Rattus norvegicus: one gene and its partners. The protein of the gene in region 1 interacts with the protein of each later gene in a pairwise test. Links are inferred from orthologs where the notes say so. Each region holds a gene or a part of one and is shown in the gene's direction. Other genes may lie near its edges.

Evidence for each region.
Region 2: the proteins of Rgs20 (region 1) and Ptpmt1 interact in binary tests that used the Homo sapiens proteins (3 or more experiments, as listed by UniProt). The two-hybrid records come from large-scale screens. The link is inferred for Rattus norvegicus from reciprocal best matches to the Homo sapiens genes RGS20 and PTPMT1.
Region 3: the proteins of Rgs20 (region 1) and Faslg interact in binary tests that used the Homo sapiens proteins (3 or more experiments, as listed by UniProt). The two-hybrid records come from large-scale screens. The link is inferred for Rattus norvegicus from reciprocal best matches to the Homo sapiens genes RGS20 and FASLG.

What each region holds. Positions count from the first base shown.
Region 1 is NC_086023.1:19,281,057-19,284,804, forward strand, and holds the start of Rgs20 (regulator of G-protein signaling 20), read left to right. Parts: upstream 1-1,192; 5' UTR 1,193-1,300; coding exon 1,301-1,468; intron 1,469-3,748. UniProt on the Homo sapiens protein: Inhibits signal transduction by increasing the GTPase activity of G protein alpha subunits thereby driving them into their inactive GDP-bound form.
Region 2 is NC_086021.1:97,352,401-97,356,113, reverse strand, and holds the start of Ptpmt1 (phosphatidylglycerophosphatase and protein-tyrosine phosphatase 1), read left to right. Parts: upstream 1-859; 5' UTR 860-1,072; coding exon of another isoform or gene 1,073-1,281; coding exon 1,282-1,629; intron 1,630-1,721; coding exon 1,722-1,802; intron 1,803-2,315; coding exon of another isoform or gene 2,316-2,369; exon of another isoform or gene 2,370-2,377; intron 2,378-3,713. UniProt on the Homo sapiens protein: Lipid phosphatase which dephosphorylates phosphatidylglycerophosphate (PGP) to phosphatidylglycerol (PG).
Region 3 is NC_086031.1:76,693,157-76,696,904, reverse strand, and holds the start of Faslg (tumor necrosis factor ligand superfamily member 6), read left to right. Parts: upstream 1-1,401; 5' UTR 1,402-1,474; coding exon 1,475-1,813; intron 1,814-2,499; coding exon 2,500-2,545; intron 2,546-3,748. UniProt on the Homo sapiens protein: Cytokine that binds to TNFRSF6/FAS, a receptor that transduces the apoptotic signal into cells. Involved in cytotoxic T-cell-mediated apoptosis, natural killer cell-mediated apoptosis and in T-cell development.

The sequences.
Region 1 (3,748 bases):
ACAAGGGTCCCTTCAATCATAAGATGTCAAAACTATCTGAGGAGAGGATGGAGATTTGAAGCCAACACCTGAAAAACCAAATATGGAAATCCTTTCTTCCTACAACTTCCATTAATAACTTAGCAGTTATGGCCTGTGGGTTGAATATGAAAGAGGGTGAGATTGAAAGAGATGTTCTTATATTTCCAAATGTTCCTGTGCGCCACCCACGTGAAGTTTCTTTCATAACTCAGTTTGAATTCAAGCCTTGCCTGTTATATGACTATCACATAAAAAGCATGTATATATAATATTGTCTGTTTAAGCAAAATCTGAGTTACTGTTCGCCGCGCGCCTTTAAGTCTACAGCAGCGGAAAGCGAGAAGAGCAGGACATGAAGAACACGCAGTTTGCGAGGAAAGGACTGAGTGGCTCAGAGTTGCGGGCAAGGATAGTACACGAAAGCTGTACGATGGTAACATCCTCTCTCTGACACCATTTAGAATCATGTAGATGAACCCCTTGGCATGTCTGAGAGAGAGACATTCTAAATTGGGCTAACTGAAACGGGAAGACTCATCCTACACGTGGCTGATACTGTAACATGGCCAGGAGTGAAGAGCTAATTATTGTTCAGGACTGACTGCTATTCAGCCAGGTTCTTTGGACACAGGCAGGTACAGTCAATTCGTTGCCTGCCGTTCTCCAGCAATATCCACAGTCAGCCATTCGAGCTTAGCTGCTTCCTAGTCTAAACCTTTAGTGCTTTCCTCCCTGTGGACAAAGCCACCAAGCAGTTCCCTCCCTATACCGACAAAGCACGGAATAGCGGCTGACACGCCACGGAAGAGCAGCAGCATTGCTTCCACGGAACTCTGGGGGGCTTTGCTTTCATAAAGGCACAAAGGCATGGGGAAAATCAGAACAGTACTATGAACAGATGGGGGCTGCCTCAAAGGTCCCCTCAGATGGTTTTCACAACGCATCCATTTGTCATAGGGGCAGCTTGTTCTAACTCGAGACACTGAGCATTACAGCAGTGACTTATAAAGAAGAAACTTTCTTACTCACCTACAGAGGGCAGTCTTGGCATACACACTCAGTGGGCAGCTCTATCTGGAACGGAATGCTAAAATAGGTAGATAAGCCACTACTGATCCAGAGAAGGGATCAGCCTTTTACTTTGCTTAGAATAACATTGCAAGAAGGTCCCAGCAGACTCAGACATGGGCCAGCATTAGCCAGCCAAAGAACAGAGACGATACCTGGATGTTGGTAAAACCGGATGACAAGACTCCGGTAGGGCATTTGTTAGGAAAACATGCCCAGCCTTCCCCAAGGAAACCAAGGCTACCTGGAGGAGCATCTTTCCGGGCAGGCTGAGCAGGCACAGTTGCTGCCCCTGATCAGAGCAGAGAAAGATTCCAATTCCAGTATTCCCCAAGACCCAGAAAATAAAGGGGTCTCTCAGGCTGTGACTGGTGTCAAGGTAAGATGATCTCACAATCCCCACTGTCTTTGGCCGGGTAAAGGTTAACCCCTGAAGAATATAATGCCAGTAGCCAGTTTTATCGCAGTAGACTATGGGTGATTTATCAAGAATACTTTTGGAATAATTTACAGAAAACCTAAAAATTTGAAAACTACCTGGTGTCCAGTTTTCTCCACCCTAAACAGCTCTCTTTCACCATTGCTTTTTTTGTTGTTGCTGTGTTTTTGTTTTTTGTGGTTGTTCGTTTATTTGCTATGCTTTTGTGCTTGAGACTGAAGCCTTGGCCTCAGGCACACTGAGCGGGCGCTCAATCACTGAGCTACGTCCACAGAGTTTTGGCTGTTTGTTTTTTAGGTGATACTTTTTTTTTTCTTAAGCAGGAAATTTAGCTTCTTTAGCTGTTGCTACTAGTTCTTGAATGTTTTTCTCTGATAGAAATTGTGAAAGAAAATTAGACTTCTTTCTAAAAATATTATTACAAAATAATGAGAAGCTTCTATAGGAACATGAACATTAAAGATGTTAAATGTGTAGCTTCCTAAAGTGAGCTTCCCAAGTGTGAGTTTCTGACATTGATCATTTCTCCTATCCGGGGTTGTATGTTTCTTGGCAGAATGTACAGTGTGAGATGGCAAATTCTCTTAACTATTAATAAAGCACAACTGTTAATAAAAGGTTACAGTATGGAGAGGAATGGGCTCGTGTCCATGTTAAAAAAATAATTATCAGAGTTCAGAACTAAATGATGCAAAAGCAGACCACAGAAAACCTGTCCAAGTGAGTCAGCGCTGGAAGTCACAGTTGTTCCTGAGCCGTGGCCTACATCCTGAAAATGATCATTATATGGAACTCTGCACTTAATTCTCTAGACCTGCCCTGTGGTGGTATTTCAACTAATCGGTATGAGCAGAGGAAGGGTTAAAAGAAAATGAAAAATAAGTTTATTGTGAGTCTTTTTTTCTGTGGAAATAACTTTAATTTTCTGATATATGTGAGTACATCGTGAATCTGACACTCCAATTATTGTCGCCAACTAAGTACAGGACTTTATCTGATCAGCAGCTCATTCTCGAAGTTCTCAGATAAGAGTTTCGTTGTGTCGCTAAAACTGGCCTCAAACTCAAAATCCTACTGTCTTAGTCTCCCAGGTACTGTAGTTAAAAATGTGTGCCGCAACCAGTTAAGCATTAAGTCACCAAATTGAAATTAAAAGGAAAGATGTCATGATTAGGAGATCCTTATGCATTTTGAATATTTTAATTATCAGTGCCTCCCTTAACTCCTCCCAGATCCACACCCAGCTCCAGTTTTGTGTCTTTTTCTCTTTAATAACCCACCTACTAGGAGATCTTTATTAGCAAATATCTAAAAGCGAATAATAATCAAAAGAGATTTCTACAAGCTAAAAATTGGACATTATTCTTTTTTTTTTATTAACTTGAGTATTTCTTATATACATTTCGAGTGTTATTCCCTTTCCCGGTTTCCGGGCAAACATCCCCCTCCCCCCTCCCCTTCCTTATGGGTGTTCCCCTCCCAACCCTCCCCCCATTGCCGCCTTCCCCCGTAGTCTAGTTCACTGGGGGTTCAGTCTTAGCAGGACCCAGGGCTTCCCCTTCCACTGGTGCTCTTACTAGGATATTCATTGCTACCTATGGGGTCAGAGTCCAGGGTCAGTCCATGTATAGTCTTTAGGTAGTGGCTTAGTCCCTGGAAGCTCTGGTTGCTTGACATTGTTGTACATATGGGGTCTCGAGCCCCTTCAAGCTCTTCCAGTTCTTTCTCTGATTCCTTCAACGGGGGACCTATTCTCAGTTCAGTGGTTTGCTGCTGGCATTCGCCTCTGTATTTGCTGTATTCTGGCTGTGTCTCTCAGGAGCAATCTACATCCGGCTCCTGTCAGTCTGCACTTCTTTGCTTCATCCATCTTGTCTAATTGGGTAGCTGTATATGTATGGGCCACATGTGGGGCAGGCTCTGAATGGGTGTCCCTTCAGTCTCTGTTTTAATCTTTGCCTCTCCCTTCCCTGCCAAGGGTATTCTTTTTCCTCATTTAAAGAAGGAGTGAAGCATTCACATTTTGATCATCCGTCTTGAGTTTCGTTTGTTCTAGGGATCTAGGGTAATTCAAGCATTTGGGCTAATAGCCACTTATCAATGAGTGCATACCATGTATGTCTTTCTGTGGTTGGGTTAGCTCACTCAGGATCATATTTTCCAGTTCCAACCATTTGCCTACGAATCTCATAAACTCGTTGTTTTTGATAGCTGAGTAAT
Region 2 (3,713 bases), on another chromosome or scaffold:
CCCAGGGCCTTGAGCTTGCTAGGCAAGCGCTCTGCCACTGAGCTAAATCCCTAACCAATCTTATACATGTATTAATGTGCTTTGATAAAAATTCATCCCCTAACTCTTCTTCCTCCTAATTCCTTCCTGCCCATTATTATGAGTATTTCTTTGATAAAATATACCTCTTTTTTTAAAAGGAAGAAAAAGAAGTCAGACAGCAGTAGCACATGCCTTTAATCCCAGAACTCAGGAGGCAGAGGCAAGTGGATCTCTGAGTGCAAGGCCAGCCTGGCCTACAGAGAGAGTTCCACGACAACCAGGGTTACACAAAGAAACCCTGTCTTGAAAAACAAACAGGGGGCTGGAGAGATGGCTCAGCGGTGGTTAAGAGCACTAACTGCTCTTCCAGAGGTCCCGAGTTCAGTTCCCAGCAACCACATGGTGGCTCACAACCATTTGTAATGGGATCTGATGCTCTTTTCTGATGTGTCTGAAGACGGTTACAGTGTACTCATAAATATAAAATAAATAAGTAAATCTTTTTTTTTAAAGAAAAACAAACAAGCAAACAAAGAAACCAAAACCAAGAAGGAGGGAAAAAGCAGCAGATGCAGGTAAAGAATATTCTCTTGTGGCTGGAGAAATGGTTTAGCAGTTAAGAGCATTGGCTATTCTTTCGGGGGACCCTGGTTTGATTTCCAGCATTCACTGAGAGGGACTCTCGTCCCTCTAGTCACACTCTAGTCCCATGGGTTCCAACATCCTCTTTGTCCTCCTTGGACTTTGCATCCAGGTAATATCTCTCTCACACACACACACACATATATATATACACACACACTCAGAGGTATTGGGGGTTTTTTTTTTTGTTTGTTTGTTTTGAGACAGGGTTTCTTTGTGTGCCTTGGCTGTTCTGGAACTAGCTACATAGCCAGTAGAAGGTAGTTTGGGCTACATAGTGTGATCTGGTCTCAAAAAAAGTTAAGAGAGAGACAGAGAGACAGACAGACAGTAGACTACCACTTATGTTCAGGTTCCCTGCACCCCCAAGAGCAGCAGCTCCGGTCAACTACGCTCCTCTTACGCCCAGATGAGGGTCCTCCGGTTCCTCCCCTGTTTAGAGGAGCCTCACTGCTCAGCCTCCTCCTTGGTAATGGGTGCACTCGGGGGCCACGGCCCCTCCCTGAGGTCAGGGGTTGGAGAGCAGGCCCTGCTCCTTAGGCAGGGTCACAGTTTCACCCTATCGTTGCCGTTCTACTCTCCCTACCCCACCCCTCGCGGCGCCTCTCCTTTGGAGCCATGGTTCCTGTCCCGGGATCCCCCGGGCCTGCCTCTGACGGCGGGGACTCAGCTTCGGAGAGTCGGGAGGCATCAGGTGGCCCGCAGCTCTCGTCCTCTGCGTCCTTCTCGCGGTGGCTGACCGCGAGCTCCGAAGCGGGTGGCTGGCCGCTGCGCTTGGCGGGGTGGGGCGGGATGGCGGCGTCCGCGTGGCTGGAGGCCGGCCTGGCCCGGGTGCTCTTCTACCCGACGCTGCTCTACACAGTGTTCCGGGGGAGGGTGGGCGGCCCGGCGCACCGCGATTGGTACCACCGCATCGACCACACAGTGCTGCTGGGCGCGCTGCCGCTGAGGAGCATGACGCGCCGGGTGAGAGAGACCGGCGGGCCGGGCCGGGAGCGGGCCCCGGGCCTCGGCGGGCGCCCCGCGGCCCTCGCTGAGCCCCTTCTTTGCCTCGGCAGCTGGTACTGGACGAGAACGTGCGCGGAGTGATCACTATGAACGAGGAGTACGAGACCAGATTCCTGTGCAACACCTCGAAGGTAAGGACCCGGGCCCTCTGGCCTGGCTCAGTACTCGGGCCTGTAAAAGCTGGAGAAGCTAGGGGAAGGAGGGACGCTGTGGGTGACCTTGTCTCCGAGACTAGTGTCGGAGACACTAGTTGCCTTCTCGAGCACTGTGTCTGCGCGTCAAGTTCAAATGGCTGCAGGTGGAAAGACGCTGAAACTGATAAACCAGAAAGAAGTCCTGCGAGCCTGGAGCCCGGGCGACTCAGGTGGCTGAGGCAGGATCTTTTGAGCCCAGGAGTTCAAATGTGCCCTGGCCTCTGTCTAAAAAGAGCGAGCTAACCCGCTGTGGGTGGCTCACTCCTGGGATTTCAGCACCCTTAGGCAAGAAGAAGGGTCGGTGGAAGTTCCAGGCCAGCTTGGTGTATGTAGTGAGCTCTGTGCCAGTCAGGACACAAGGAAGTCCTGCTTTAAAATCGGGACGGGTTTACAGTTCTTCATGCACAAAATTGTACATGTATATGCTACTTTTCCTTTGTTTATTTTGAGACAGGGGTCTTAAGTCCTGATGTGATTCTACTGCCTCCACTTTCCCAGTACTGAGACTACAGGCATGTGCTAATACACCCATCTTATATTTGTGATTTTGGTCACTAACCTCAGTAACTAAAATTTGTGATTTATGTGTGTGGTGGTTTGACTATGCTTGGCTCTGGGAGTGGAACTAGAGAACCCTGACTAATACCGTGTGCCTTGCTGATTTCATTCATTTTAACACATTTTAGCATCAAGTTTGAATTAGGCAATATGTTCGTTAGCTTTGGAGATGAAGGCCAACTGTAAGGAAAGCATTTCTTTAAGAGAGAGTGTGGCTCTTATCTGTAATGTTAGCTCTTCATGAGTGAAGGTGGGAAGTGTTTAGTGAGGTGGAGGCCAGCCTGGGCTACACGAGCCTGTGTCTAAAAACAAAATCACAGATAAGAAAAGCGAACCCCCCTCTCTGCCAGGCATATTGGTGCATACCTTTAACCCCAGAACTCTGGAGACAGAGGCAGGCAGATCTCTGTGAGTTTGAGGCCCATCTGATCTATAAAGTGAGTCTAGAACAGCCAGAGCTATATAATGAAATCTTTTTTTTTTTTTTTTTTTGGTTCTTTTTTTCGGAGCTGGGGACCGAACCCAGGGCCTTGCGCTTCCTAGGCAAGCGCTCTACCACTGAGCTAAATCCCCAGCCCCATGAAATCTTATCTTGAAACCACCCAAAGAAAAGTAAAAAGAAGAACACTCCTTATTATATATACTATGTTAATAGTTATCATTGAAGAACTGCAGAGCGGGCTGTGGATGGATTTCAGTTGATAAACTGCTTGCCTAGAGTACATGAAGTCAGTGAAGAATAAAAACAAGGTGTGGCAGTGGCCCAGTATCCCAACACCCAAGAAGAAGACGATCAGATACTCAAGCTCCTGAGCCACATAGGAGTTCGAGGCTAACCTGTGGCATGGTATAGAAGGCCATTTATAGAAAAAGAAAAAAAGAAAATGACCGTTCCTGGATGCCCTAAAATATTGTCACAGGTCTCAAGGGGTCATTAGCTATCAGAGCTAATACTCACTCATGTGATCAATGTGAAAGGTCACTAAAGCCACACAGACAATGCTTGGTCTCTCCATGTGAGGCACTGTCCTCTGTAAGGTGGAGGGTTTTCATCCCACTAGCTAGAGAAAAGAAATCTCCAAGGCAGCAGCCACACTGGAAATGCCTAAGGATCTTCTGGCAGCCTTGCTAATAAGGCACAAGTTCCCACCTCAGGCCACCCCACCTCAGGCCACCCGACCCTCTCACCTTGATATTCTGACCCAGGGTTTATCTGCATAGTTAACAACTCTGAAAGTGGTTCTGGTTCAATTGATAAACAAGCAGAAATGTGCCTTTAGGTTCTGTTAA
Region 3 (3,748 bases), on another chromosome or scaffold:
TAATCTGATACCAGGAGAGCAGCTGTGGGAATAATGAAGGAGGGGAAGATGAGAAATGTGTCGCAGGTGAGAAAAAGCAGGTCTGGCTGGCCGGGGGCAAAAGGAAAGAGCAGCCTGAGCTTGCCAGCAGCAGAGTGACTCAGGAGAATTAGCAGCTGGGGCGGATCAGGATGAAGGTAGCAGAGATATAACACTTTGGGAGTTTTTCAGCATAGGCGAGAGAGGTAAGGTGCTCATCCCAGACATCCCAACGCAGAAGATAAAAACTAAAACCTCTTAAAGAGTAGAGTTGCCCCCCCCCCAAAAAAAAGGTGGAGTATAGGAACTTACTGGGATTTGTATGGTTTATATGGGGAAGTGATGGGAACCAAGGCTGAGTTCTTAGAGGTTGTTAGGCATACATAAATGCTGTGTATGTGGGGCCAGAAGACTGAAATCAAACCTAGGGAGTGGTCAGTTTTTAGAAAGGCATAAATTTGCTGTAAATGTTGAGTAATGCTCAGTCTGTCCTGTGCGATGCTTAAGGTACACTTGCTATAGAAAAGAATTATTTACCGCTTACCCAAACTCTTCTGAATTAGGCACTTCAAGTTTCATTTGGTAACCAGAATAGGGATTGTGAAGTTAAATGATTACAGAGTAGGAAGGGGAAGTGGGATAGGAGGCAGGCGCAGTGGGGGCAGGGCTGCCTGGTGTTCAGAGATGGCCAGGGGATGTGTCCTACTCTTCTGTTTCCAAAGAGAATAGAAGTACGCATTTTTATTGCGTGCGATCTCAATTTTGAAAGAGGGCAACTAAGGGAACCAAAAACATTGGTGATAGGAAAGCAATCCTGTGGTACCAAGGATATATGGGCCTGGTGGTGGTTTGTAACCTCTGATCCAATCTGTGGAATGGGTGGGGCGACTTTTACCCTCTCAACTATGAAATGGGGGCTCGGTAGAGGGAAGGACAGCAATTGAGGATTAAATTCCCTGTGCTCGGATTGTAGAGATCGCTTCCCTAGCCAAACGCCTTGGTCTTTTCCCAGTGCCTTAGCACCAACAGCCCTCACAGGACACACCCCATAGCACAGGTCTTGCAGCTGTGGAATAGCTAATGTCCTCTAGGGGTATCCAGCGCTGATTTGCTGAGTGGGACCTCAGGCAGGTAAGCCTGGTTTACCAGTGAGCACAGAGATGCCAATTGGAACTTCGAAGAGTTTTCGTCAGAAATTTGTGGGCGGAAACTTCCTGGGGTTGCTGTGAGCTTTTTTTTTTCTTTTAAGGCTTCTCAGCTTCAGATGCAAATGAGTGGGTGTCTCACGGAGAAGCAAAGAGAAGAGAACTGGAGAGAGGTGTTTCCCTTGACTGTGGAAACTTTATAAAGAAAACTCACTTACCTTCTCTGGAGCAGTCAGCATCAGAGTCCTGTCCTTGACACTTCAGTCTCCACAAGACTGAGAGGAGGAAACCCTTTCCTGGGGCTGGGTGCCATGCAGCAGCCCGTGAATTACCCATGTCCCCAGATCTACTGGGTAGACAGCAGTGCCACTTCTCCTTGGGCTCCTCCAGGGTCAGTTTTTTCTTGTCCATCCTCTGGGCCTAGAGGGCCAGGACAAAGGAGACCACCGCCTCCACCACCACCTCCATCACCACTACCACCGCCTTCCCAACCACCCCCGCTGCCTCCACTAAGCCCTCTAAAGAAGAAGGACAACATAGAGCTGTGGCTACCGGTGATATTTTTCATGGTGCTGGTGGCTCTGGTTGGAATGGGGTTAGGAATGTATCAACTCTTTCATCTACAGAAGGAACTGGCAGAACTCCGTGAGGTAAGTCTAGCACATGGGTTAATAGGCCCTTGAGTTCCTGGACTCTGCTGTGTGGGAGTAGGGACTTGCTATGGCCCATGTGGGCCACTGTGTTGTTTGCAATGATTTGAGGTTTTTGCTGTTGTTTTGTTTTGAATGGCAAAGATCTTATTGATCCCCTCGCTTTTAGAAAAGAGTTGTTATAGTCTCTTCTTTCTAGTTGGAGAAGCAGGCGTTCACTCCCTCAAAGAGAGTGATCCTCACTCAACCTGTGGGTCATGACCCCTTAGTGGGGGAGCCATTTTATGGCTGGGGGTCACCACAACATGAGGAACTGTATTAAAGAGCTGCGGTGTTCCCTTGAGAACCACTGCTCAAAGGAAGTTATTTTCCACCTTCTAGACAATTCGAAGCAAATAATTATTCTTCTCTCACTTGTCAATGGTGTTTGATGAACTTTTTATTGCTTCATATTTAGTGATTCAAGGAAGAAGATAAACTTTAAATCTTGTTCAGAAGTGTAAATAAATCTCTTTGAAAAGACTTAGAAGCCTTACTATAACTCTAGATACAATTGCATGGCCAAACTCTAACTCAGTCAGGGTCTGACATATTTGAGTCCTCTTTCTATGGACTGCTGTGACTTCTGCCTCCTTGGCTTAAATAACTCCACATTTATTCTATGACTCTTTTTTCCCCCCCACTAGTTCACCAACCACAGCCTTAGAGTATCATCTTTTGAAAAGCAAATAGGTAAGTACTTTTATGTCTGTCTTTTGAGTTCCCGGAGGAACTCAACACTCAACAAAGTTGTGAGGATGCTTGAGATTCCGTCCCATTCTTGGGCTCATGATTCCTAGGCACAAAATCCTGAGGAACTTTTAACTCTTTGTTCAGTGTGAAAAGGTAGTTTACTGCTCAATATCAGTGTATCTGAATGAATATCGAACGTAACTCAATAGAATTTGGACTTGACTGGAAAGGAGCACACATACAGCCCTGGATCTTTTCCCTTGGCTCCTTCCATGGATATCTTGGTCCCATCTTACATTGTGGTGACTGTGACTCCTAAGGACAGAGGCAAAAATACTAGATGCACAATATTAGACCAATTAGGTTCAATGCCCAGCTTCCCTGGTATGAAACTGGGGCTAAGAGAACAGTCCCCTGACGCCTTGCTATCTATTAAGACTTTACAACGCACAGAGAAACTCCCACCTTTCAATAACGGCTGAGAAATGAGAAGCAAATGCAAAGCTGGTGTCTCTTGCAAGGGCAACACAACAGTTTTATCCTAATAACTGAAGAAAACCGAACCTTCCATCAAAAGGAGTGCTGGCTCCACACTCAGTGCGGCTTGGTCTTCATGTGGGTCCCTCAACAACTGGAGTGGGGGCTGTCCCTGAATCTGTTGCCTTCCTGTGGATCCCACTCCCCTAACTGGGCTGCCATGTCTGGCCTCAGTGGGAGAGGATGTGCCTAATCCTGAGTGACTTGATGTGCCAGAGTGGATTGATATCGGGGGGGGGGGGATGGGGGTGGGGGTCGCTCCCGCTTCTCAAAGGAGAAGAGGAGGGGTAGGAGGAGGGACTGTGTGAGGGAGGATGGGGGAGTGGCTGCAACCCGGATGTAAAGTGAATAAATAAATTAATTAATGGAAAGGAAGGAAGGAAAGAAAGAAGGAAGAAAGAAAGGGAGGAAGGGAGAGGGAGACGGAGAGGGAGAGAGAGAGGGAGAGAGAGAGACAGACAGAGAGAGACAGGAAGGAAGGAAGGAAGGAAGGAAGGAAGGAAGGAAGGAAGGAAGGGGATATAAGCTCTTTCAGGGGTCACTATGGTGTGCTCTGGTTTTCAGCTCTGCATTCAAGTCTCTAAGGACCAGAGCCCAGTTTACACAGGCACAGTGGAAAATGACTTGTTAGAAAAATGAAACTTCTCAGGATTTCTGAAATGAAAT